Linked DNA regions of Rattus norvegicus. The protein of the gene in region 1 purifies or fractionates together with the protein of each later gene. This does not show direct contact. Links are inferred from orthologs where the notes say so. Each region holds a gene or a part of one and is shown in the gene's direction. Other genes may lie near its edges.

Region 1 (4,273 bases):
GCTGTGCCGCTGCAAAGGCATCTCCTGCAAGAAGACCTAATTGAGGACTGCCTGAGGAGCAAGTATTGCTGGTGCGAACAATGCCAGCCAATCAGGAACTGCTGCTTAGAAGAGATGCTTTCTTGGGACCAATGGAGGCGTGGGTGGAGGATATTAAAGGAGCTTGTAGCGGTGCTCTGATGAGCTTGCTGCATTTCTCACCTGCTCCTGGAGTCTGTGTTGTTGACTCTTTGCCAACTCACTGCCAAGCCCCACGGGCAGGTAGGGTCAGGCAGAGAGCTGTCCAGGGCACAGGCAACACTTCATGTCAGGACTCTGAAGGTGGTGAACTCGGGAGTGGGCAGGGGGTCATTGGACCTTTTTGTCCCTCTTCCCGATGTGGCTACATCGAATAAGCCTCCTTTCTCTACCTCTTCGTTATTGCGTATCTTTTTAATTGCCATATCGAGGATACATGCTTGAGCCTAGCTTGTTAGAGCTGCTGGCTCCAAGATCTCACCCTAACAACACCAGTACAAAATATCAGCCTCTTCCTACAGGGCAACTAGGGTTTGTCTGGTCATCTGTGAGAGCCTAAACTTCTCCACGAAGACAATTTAAAAGGTATTTAAATGCATGTCACAAATTACAGTCAGTATATGTAAACCTCCGATCGATCTACTTTTAGATCTGCTTCTGTCAGTCTAGTTTTAAAGCAACGCAGCTGAAATATCCAGTATTTCTGCTGCTGCTTTGTGGCCTGCCATTGAACCCTAAAAAATTTTTTTCCTTGACCTTTTGAGAAACGGCAAAAACAATGGCAGTCGCAGCTCTCGCCCGGGCTCTCCCTCCGCGCAGCCGCAGGACGCAGGCAGGCAGGACGCGGAAGTAAGCGCGCGCTTTCAGGGTTGTTTTACTCTGAGAGTCGATCTTTAAGTTGACTTGTTAGACTCCTTTTCTGTTGCAGCAAGACTTAAAAAAGAAAATATATATATCAGTCAAATGGTCATAAACTAAATTTCTTGCAAATGTGCCTTAAAACCTTTCAAAATCTCGGTACTAAATACACCTCGGTGACTAGTGCCAGGATGACAAGGCATTAGAACCTCCGGAATAGAACGCGCGATTCATTCATTCTTTTGACAATTGAGATACCAGACTTTTGACAGACAGCTGAGTGGATATCGCGCCTGGAACGTTTGTTCTTGGTGCTGGGGAGATCAAAAAATGACAAGAATAAATGGGACTAAGAGACTAAAACGAGAGCTCAAACGTTATTTCGCTCTTCCGTGGTCGAGCCCACCTCACGGATTCTAAATTGTCTTTTTCCAGGCTTCCGCCAGGGGGATGGACTACAACTCCCATGATACTCGTGCGCCGCTCCTTAATAGAGGCTTCGCTTCTCTCCCTGGCCGCGCAGGGGACGACTACAGTTCCCAGAATGCTCTGCTCTCCCGCTTGGGTGTTTTTGCCCCTCTCTTGGCGTTGAACGCGGTAGTGGCCATCCGGAGTGCCAGGCCTAGGGTTCTCGGTGTCCTTCCCCGGGTCACGGGCGAGGAGGCGACTTGACTTCTGGGCGCCGAGCCCGGGCGCGCGCGCAAGCGGCTGCCGTCCCCGCTGCAGGTTCGCGTCCCGCTTTGCTCCTTGCGCAGCTCGGCTCGCGGCCGCCGGGACGGCCCGGGACTGACGGCCCCGGGACAGGGGTGACCGTCGCGGCTGCGGGAGCAGAGGCGAAGCTGAGGCCCGGGAAGAGGCGACAGCGGCGAGAGCACCCGGGGAGAGGAGGAGGTGAGAAGATGGCGTCGGAGATGGAGCCCGAGGTGCAGGCCATCGACCGCAGTTTGCTGGAATGTTCTGCCGAGGAGATCGCAGGGGTGAGTGCGGGAGCCCGGGAGGAGTACGTCCGGCCCTCGCAGGCCGCGCCCCAGGGGAGGAACAGAGTCCTGGAAATCCGGGAGCCCGCCACTGACTTCGGGTAACAGCCGCGCTGGCCATGTCCTGTGGGGAAAGGACCCAGGAGGCCATCGAGCCTGCTCTGCGCCTTCGGTACTCAGATCCTCCTTATACCCGGCGACTCTACTACAGTGCTTTCATTATCCCTAATTACCTTTCACCCTCCATTAAGTCGACAACACTTGGGCCTTTGCCCTATATGCTAGCTGCTGGAAGATGGGAGGAAGCAAGCCTCTTCCTAACGTTGTGGTATAAGCGCCCTACTTATCTTCTGATTCCTTTTCTTGGGATAAGCGGAGCAGTGTCCGCGCCGAAGCTTTCTACCCTCACCCAGCTCCAACTTTGTTGCTGGGACTGCTGGGGAAGGGGGTTGGAGGGTACCCAGGCTGCAAACAGCACAGTCCGACATTCCTCCCTCCGTGCTTTTTTTAAAAAAGTTGTTTTGCACTTGTTTATCTCGTTAGATGGCAACGTTGGTTGCCTGTGTGTACTAGTGGTGTCTCGACATGGAGGGTGGGAGATTTTTTTTTTTTTAAACTACCCAATTTTTCTAGGAGTTGGGAAAAGTTGGACGAAGAACAAACATTATATAACTTTGAGAAAGCAGCTTTGGATAACAGATGCAAACTCATTAGGGATGATAGCGTTGATCCCAGCCTATCAGGAGCCCTTAGGCCCTCAACCTAAGCCCTTCAGAACATAGAAAGGACTTAAAATGTATTATGAACAGCGCTGATACAAGTAGCAAAGTTACGAAGACAACAACTTCAACAAACTCAGTGTCAGTCTTTTGCCAGTGAGGGCAGGGGACACCTATCAGAACGGATTGTCCACAGCGACTGGAAATAGCTCAGACAATTGGAGCCTAGACTCAGAGGCCTCCAGCTGAAAAAGCTCCCAGGAAATGGGTGACTGTTCAACACATCGTCACACGGGATGTTAGGGTCAGTAAGTTGGGATGTGCAGCTGGTGACGAATCTTTGGAGTGAGCTGATGAGACTTAGATAAGTGTAGGTGGAAGTGAAGGGGAGGGGTGTGGGGGTAATTTTTTTAAAAAAATACATTGTTGCCTGATGAATTTAAGTTTTGAAATTTTTTTGGTAAGGCTAAGTAAGGTAGGCGTGCAGTCTGTTTTCCTGTACTCAGAAGGATTTTACCCCCCATCTGCCTTTGACTTATGAAAGACATCTGGAAGAGATAAAAAAAAGCCCTGTTATAAGAAAACAGGAAAATAAGACTAAGTGACTTGCTATCTTATTCTAACTGTCAAATCTGCTCGTGTCGGAGGCAGGGGGATTTTGTTTTCCTCCTGACCCCTTAGCTTGTTGCATCAGTTGCTGATGGTGACAGCAGCTGTGTTACCCCCATTCTGACAGTGGTGAGGTATCTTCGGTTTGATCCTGAGGAAGCCCAGCGCCGGAGGCTGTTACTCCCAGCTCGCTGAAAATTTCAAGCATATGGAATGGGGGAAAATAAGGGAAATGCAACAAAACCTTTATTTATTTTTTTTAATTTATAATTATGTGTATTTGTGTATGTCTGTGTCGGGGTATGTACATATTCCAGGTCCCCTGGAACTGCAGTGACAGACGCTAGCATGGATGCTGCTTTGAGAGTGGTCTCTCCAGGCCCAAGCAGAACTTCCGTTAACTTGTGCTGACTCTGAGTTTGAGGAGATCACCATCTGAGCTCTCTTTACTTTTAAGCGCTGTTCTATATAGATTTATGAAATTAAACTTGAGGAGATGTAGTCTGAAGGCCTTCAAATAGGGCAGGTGCACACTAGGATCGATGCTGTTATGTCTGGAGGAGTCTACTGGGTGCATTTAGTCAGGATGCCAAACTCTTTGGTTCTTTTTTTTTTTTTTTTTTTTTTTTTTTTTTTTTTTTTTCGGAGCTGGGGATCGAACCCAGGGCCTTGCGCTTCTTAGGCAAGCGCTCTACCGCTGAGCTAAATCCCCAACCCCAAGGATGCCAAACTCTTAACATTGTTCTTTCCGCTTAGGCCCCAGCCTGACCCTTGACCACAACTGAAAATTTTAGTCAGGTGTGGTGGTTCATACTTTTAATTCCATTGCTGCTCAGGTAGAGGTAGGCGCATGTCAGTTTGAGGCTAGCCTGTTCTACGTGGAGTTCCAGGCCAGCCAGGGCTATTTTAAAAAAAAAAAAAATCTTATTTTCAAAAAGTAAATTTTAGAAAAGATGTTGTAGAAAACGTATTTATTGCAGAATTTAGACCAATTTAGAAAATAGATAATTTTCTAAGACCAAGTAATTCCATTTTGACTTAGTAAGTAGCGATGCCTTTTGTGTCATTTGGCTTTCTGTGTGTCCCAGGCTA
Region 2 (4,148 bases), on another chromosome or scaffold:
GTTTCAAGGAACTATGTATATAGGAAGGAGTGGAGCAGTAGATTCTCATGCTCTTTTCCCTTCTAGAGCTAAAGAATTCCGCATCTACTCCACCGTTCGGGTCCCTAGAACTAACATCAGTGCTAGAAGCTGAGATTGGGAATTCCAGGAGCTTGCGGGGCGGTGTGTGTGTGTGTGTGTGTGTGTGTGTGTGTGTGTGTGTGTGAAGGCTACTGAACCTGCTGAGAATCACCCCACACACACACACACACAGAGCACTTCCGGTCCGTTTGGCCCCTCTTTGCTATTGTACAAAGCTTGTACTAAGTTACCTCAGACTCGAGATATAACTCCCACCCATGTCTGCATGATCTCTCCCCCGATCTGAATCATTTTGGTAGGTTTCTTTGACAACCAGCAGCCCATTGATATGCCCTAAAAATCACACCCACTCGTTTCTTGAGAAATACAATTGTTCCCCACCGCAGGCAAAATCACAGATTCCAATTCTAAGACTCCATAGATGGAGTCTTTAAGGCTTGGACAATCTATTCCACTCTCATTTCTGTATAGACTTTAAGTATGGAAATCCCATACAGGCTATAATTGATCCAAATGCCCTTAATCCCATCTGATTTGCACGGACCATAGTATTCAAAGCTGTTCATTACAAGGCTTTGCCACACTTTCAGTACCTGTCCCACGTGCCAGAGTTGCTAAGCCACTTGAAACAGAATTAAGTCCAGATTTTTTTGTTCCGTTTTAAAGACTCAGAACGCCAAGTGGCTTCTTCCACAATGTCTCCTTATGCAAAGTCCCAGTACTTGGGACCAAAAGAATAATGTATGACTAGAGGTGTCAACTCCTTAAACTCAAGGACCTGCTTTGTGAGACCTGAAACCAAGAGCCAGGCTAGGCCGTCACGTGACTTGTTCTGATGGCGTCACAGGCACACGTGGTTCTAGATACTTCGCTCCCTCCCCCTCAGGGGTGGATTGTTGACAACGCCGCTAGCGGTCACGTGACCTGACGTCATCCCACCTCCTCTCCCCGAAATCTCAGGCTCCGGATGCACCTCTCTCCCCGTCCGGCCGAACTTGAAACTAGCGACGGGGGGAGCGAGGCAAGGTAGCGTGTGGGCTCCGGCGCGGTCGGGCCGGCCCGTGTCCAGCCTGGGCACGGAGAGGACCTTCCATAGTTCCTCACAGCCAAGAAGCCCCGAAGACGGCCTCCTGCGCCTCCAGGGTCGCGCGCGCGCCCGCTCGCCCCGCCCCCTCTCCCCTCCTCCCAGCGGTGGTACTGGCGGAGGGCGGAGGGATCTGGAGGCGGCGGAGGGAGACGTCATTGCAGGGTTGTTTGTGCAGTCTCGGTGGCGGCGGCGACCCACAGTGATTCGGCCGCTGCGCCGGGGGGTGGGGGGGCCGAACGGGACTCTTTTCTTTCAGACTGACCGCGGGGCAGCTGCGGAGCATGTCGACCCCGGCCCGTAGGAGGCTCATGCGGGATTTCAAGCGGTAAGGGCCCTCGTCTTAGCCCAATATGACGGCCTCTTCCCGAAGCTATGGACTGTAGGGCGGGGATCCGGGATATCCTCCCCCGGTGACCCTGAGGAGGGGGGCAGTGGGCCTGCGGGACCCACGGCAGCCCCGGCTCACCGGCGACTCTTACTCCCTCGCTTCATACCTCCCTCTGTTTGAGTAAAGATGTTCGGTATTATAGCCACCTGCCCTCCCCCCCCCCCCAAAAGTAGGAAGGTAGCCATCGCTGGGCCTAGGTGTCCCAGAGGCCCACCTAGGCCAAATGCAGACGCTTCACCTCCCGCCTCTGCACCCTGCGGTGTCCCCTCCGCAGGTGGTGCTAGGGAGCTTTTCCTGAGGTTCTGGCCTCGCCTGGAGGACCAGTCCAGCTTTGTTACAGGGCCCCGTGGTCTCCTATTTGTAGCGGGGTTGGGGTGAATACTGTCCCAAATCTCTTTCCCTTTCTGCAGTGGTGAGGGTGGGGTCTGCTGCGCGAGGTCCGGAGGTGGTTAGCCCATCCCCCGAAACCCGATCTGCCCCCGCCCACCTGGAAGGACCTTGAGAACTGGCTCGGGAAACCTGGACCTGGAGCTAGCCACTCCGCTGCCAGTGCCTTCTGGAACTAAGATCTGGCTGCCGAATAAAGGCCTATCTATAGCCTCCCCGGCCTGGGAAATGCCTTCCGTCACACTGGAGCTAATCTGATACTCCACCTGGGCCTCCTTTTGGAAAATAGGAGTTTATAGGAAATAAGGGGCTTGAAGGAAGAAAATGACCTCTCCTTCCTCTTCCAGTTGTTTACCTCTCCTTGGAAACGTACAAGTGCAGCAACCGTAACTTGAAATCCAGCGACAAGATACTCCTCTAAGTTTTCTTTCTGGGCAGACCCGCTGTGATTGAGACAGATCTGTACTATAAAAACTTAGATTTGCCTCTCAGGAAGCAACTGCTCGACTTTGCCTTTATAAAGCCCTGTCTGGGGCATTTGGAGGTCTTGGGCCTTGGACAGCTTCATTTAATTCGTTGCTGATTTTAGCCACTTAAAATTGAGGAATCAGGCAGTAAGTTCGTTCCTCTCAGCCCTGTTAGTGGCATAATCTGCTTGAGGTTTTTTGTTTGTTTGTTTGTTTGTTTGTTTTTTAATGTGGACTGATCGCTAAGTGTCCACTTAAAAATCATGACATACTTTGTATGGTGGAAGGCTTTTTTTTTTTTTTTTTTATGATCTGACAGATGAGATGCCCTTGTTGGTGCAAAAGGCTTGAAGTCACTATATTTGATTGGCTCTGTAGCATGCAAATAAACCTTGCCATTATGGCTAATACATCATCCATTATTATCTCTTGTTCATTTTTGCAATTTCTGTACCCGATTGAGTACAAGGTGCCTTTGGTGGTTTTCCAAGGATCTTGAGGTTACATGAAATTGATGATGACGTCTGTTGAAAGTGCTGTATGAAACTTTGTATGAAGGCCTAAGGTAGAGTTGGCCTGAGAGCAGTGTCTTTAAAAGAGAGACTGCTGGAAAGCTAGCTGGAGCTTCTGGCTACTTGAGAAAGCCACTGTCTGAAGCACAGACCATAAAGTGTGGTTCGCTTTCTAGTTAAACTGAATATGCTTTTCAGTTATTTAGTGTATGGAGATTTCCTACGATTTTGTGTTAGGACTGGAGATCCTTGCATGATGAAGGTAGAAAAACTGTAGGCTTTTGTGTGGTTTGGTTTTGGTTTTTGGTGTTTGGTTTTGGTTTTTTGAGACAGGGTTTTTCTGTGTAGCCCTGACTGTTTTGGAATTCATTCTGTAGACCAGGCTGCCTCCAAAGTGCTGGGTCTAAAGGCATGCACACCACTACCACCTGGTAGTTGCAGATTCTCTAAAATATTTTTCATTGCTAAAATTGTAAACTTGTAATGGGTCAAGAGGGCAGTCTGGAAACAAGAGTTCTTCAAGAGATCATATCTTAAATCTTGCTGTGTGAAGAAGGATGACCACCTAGTCCTTTGGGCTTAGAGATCACTGGTAGTATTAGTAAGTATATTAACCTGGTTGATTCTTTTAAGTCATAGCTCATTTCAGCTCCAACAATAAGTCAGTCTAGTCAGTCTCTCAGAATAGGTTCAGTAGAATTTGACCTCACTGACCTTTATGTTCAACTCTGAAAATGACTACTCTGGATTTCTAGATTGCAAGAGGACCCACCTGTGGGGGTCAGTGGTGCACCATCTGAAAACAACATCATGCAGTGGAACGCAGTTATATTTGGGTGAGTTGAAATAGCGACTGCTTAGGAAAAGTAAGTATATAAGCACCAAGGAAAGAGGCTGAGGTGGATCCGAAGCTCACTTGTTGGGGTAGGGGGCACTTTTTTGAGAACCATAGGCCTCCTGTGCTTATTGTGCTCCTATCACTAAGCTGTATACCCAGCTCCTGAAACATTTTATTGAGTCTGGGACATTTATATAAAATTGGTCTGCTCCTTGCTGTTAAGTTTAATTTGGTTTCTTTCCCTTGAGACAAGGTGTTACAGTGTTGATCGGGGTGATTTTGAACTGGGCTGCAGTGATCCTCTTGCTTTAGGCCCTCAGGAGTAGCTGGGATTGTGGGAGTTTGATACTGTACCTAGCTATGGTATGGTTTTACGGTCACTCCAGGT

What was found.
Region 2: the proteins of Ubr2 (region 1) and Ube2b purify together in Homo sapiens (affinity purification with western blotting; 3 studies listed by BioGRID, with this or other methods). This does not show direct contact. The link is inferred for Rattus norvegicus from reciprocal best matches to the Homo sapiens genes UBR2 and UBE2B.

The regions. Positions count from the first base shown.
Region 1 is NC_086027.1:21,478,644-21,482,916, forward strand, and holds the start of Ubr2 (E3 ubiquitin-protein ligase UBR2), read left to right. Parts: upstream 1-1,473; 5' UTR 1,474-1,775; coding exon 1,776-1,853; intron 1,854-4,273. UniProt on the Homo sapiens protein: E3 ubiquitin-protein ligase which is a component of the N-end rule pathway.
Region 2 is NC_086028.1:36,761,144-36,765,291, reverse strand, and holds the start of Ube2b (ubiquitin-conjugating enzyme E2 B), read left to right. Parts: upstream 1-1,348; 5' UTR 1,349-1,424; coding exon of another isoform or gene 1,425-1,449; coding exon 1,450-1,493; exon of another isoform or gene 1,494-3,677; coding exon 3,678-3,758; exon of another isoform or gene 3,759-4,148. UniProt on the Homo sapiens protein: E2 ubiquitin-conjugating enzyme that accepts ubiquitin from the ubiquitin-activating enzyme E1 and transfers it to a E3 ubiquitin-protein ligase. In vitro catalyzes 'Lys-11'-, as well as 'Lys-48'- and 'Lys-63'-linked polyubiquitination.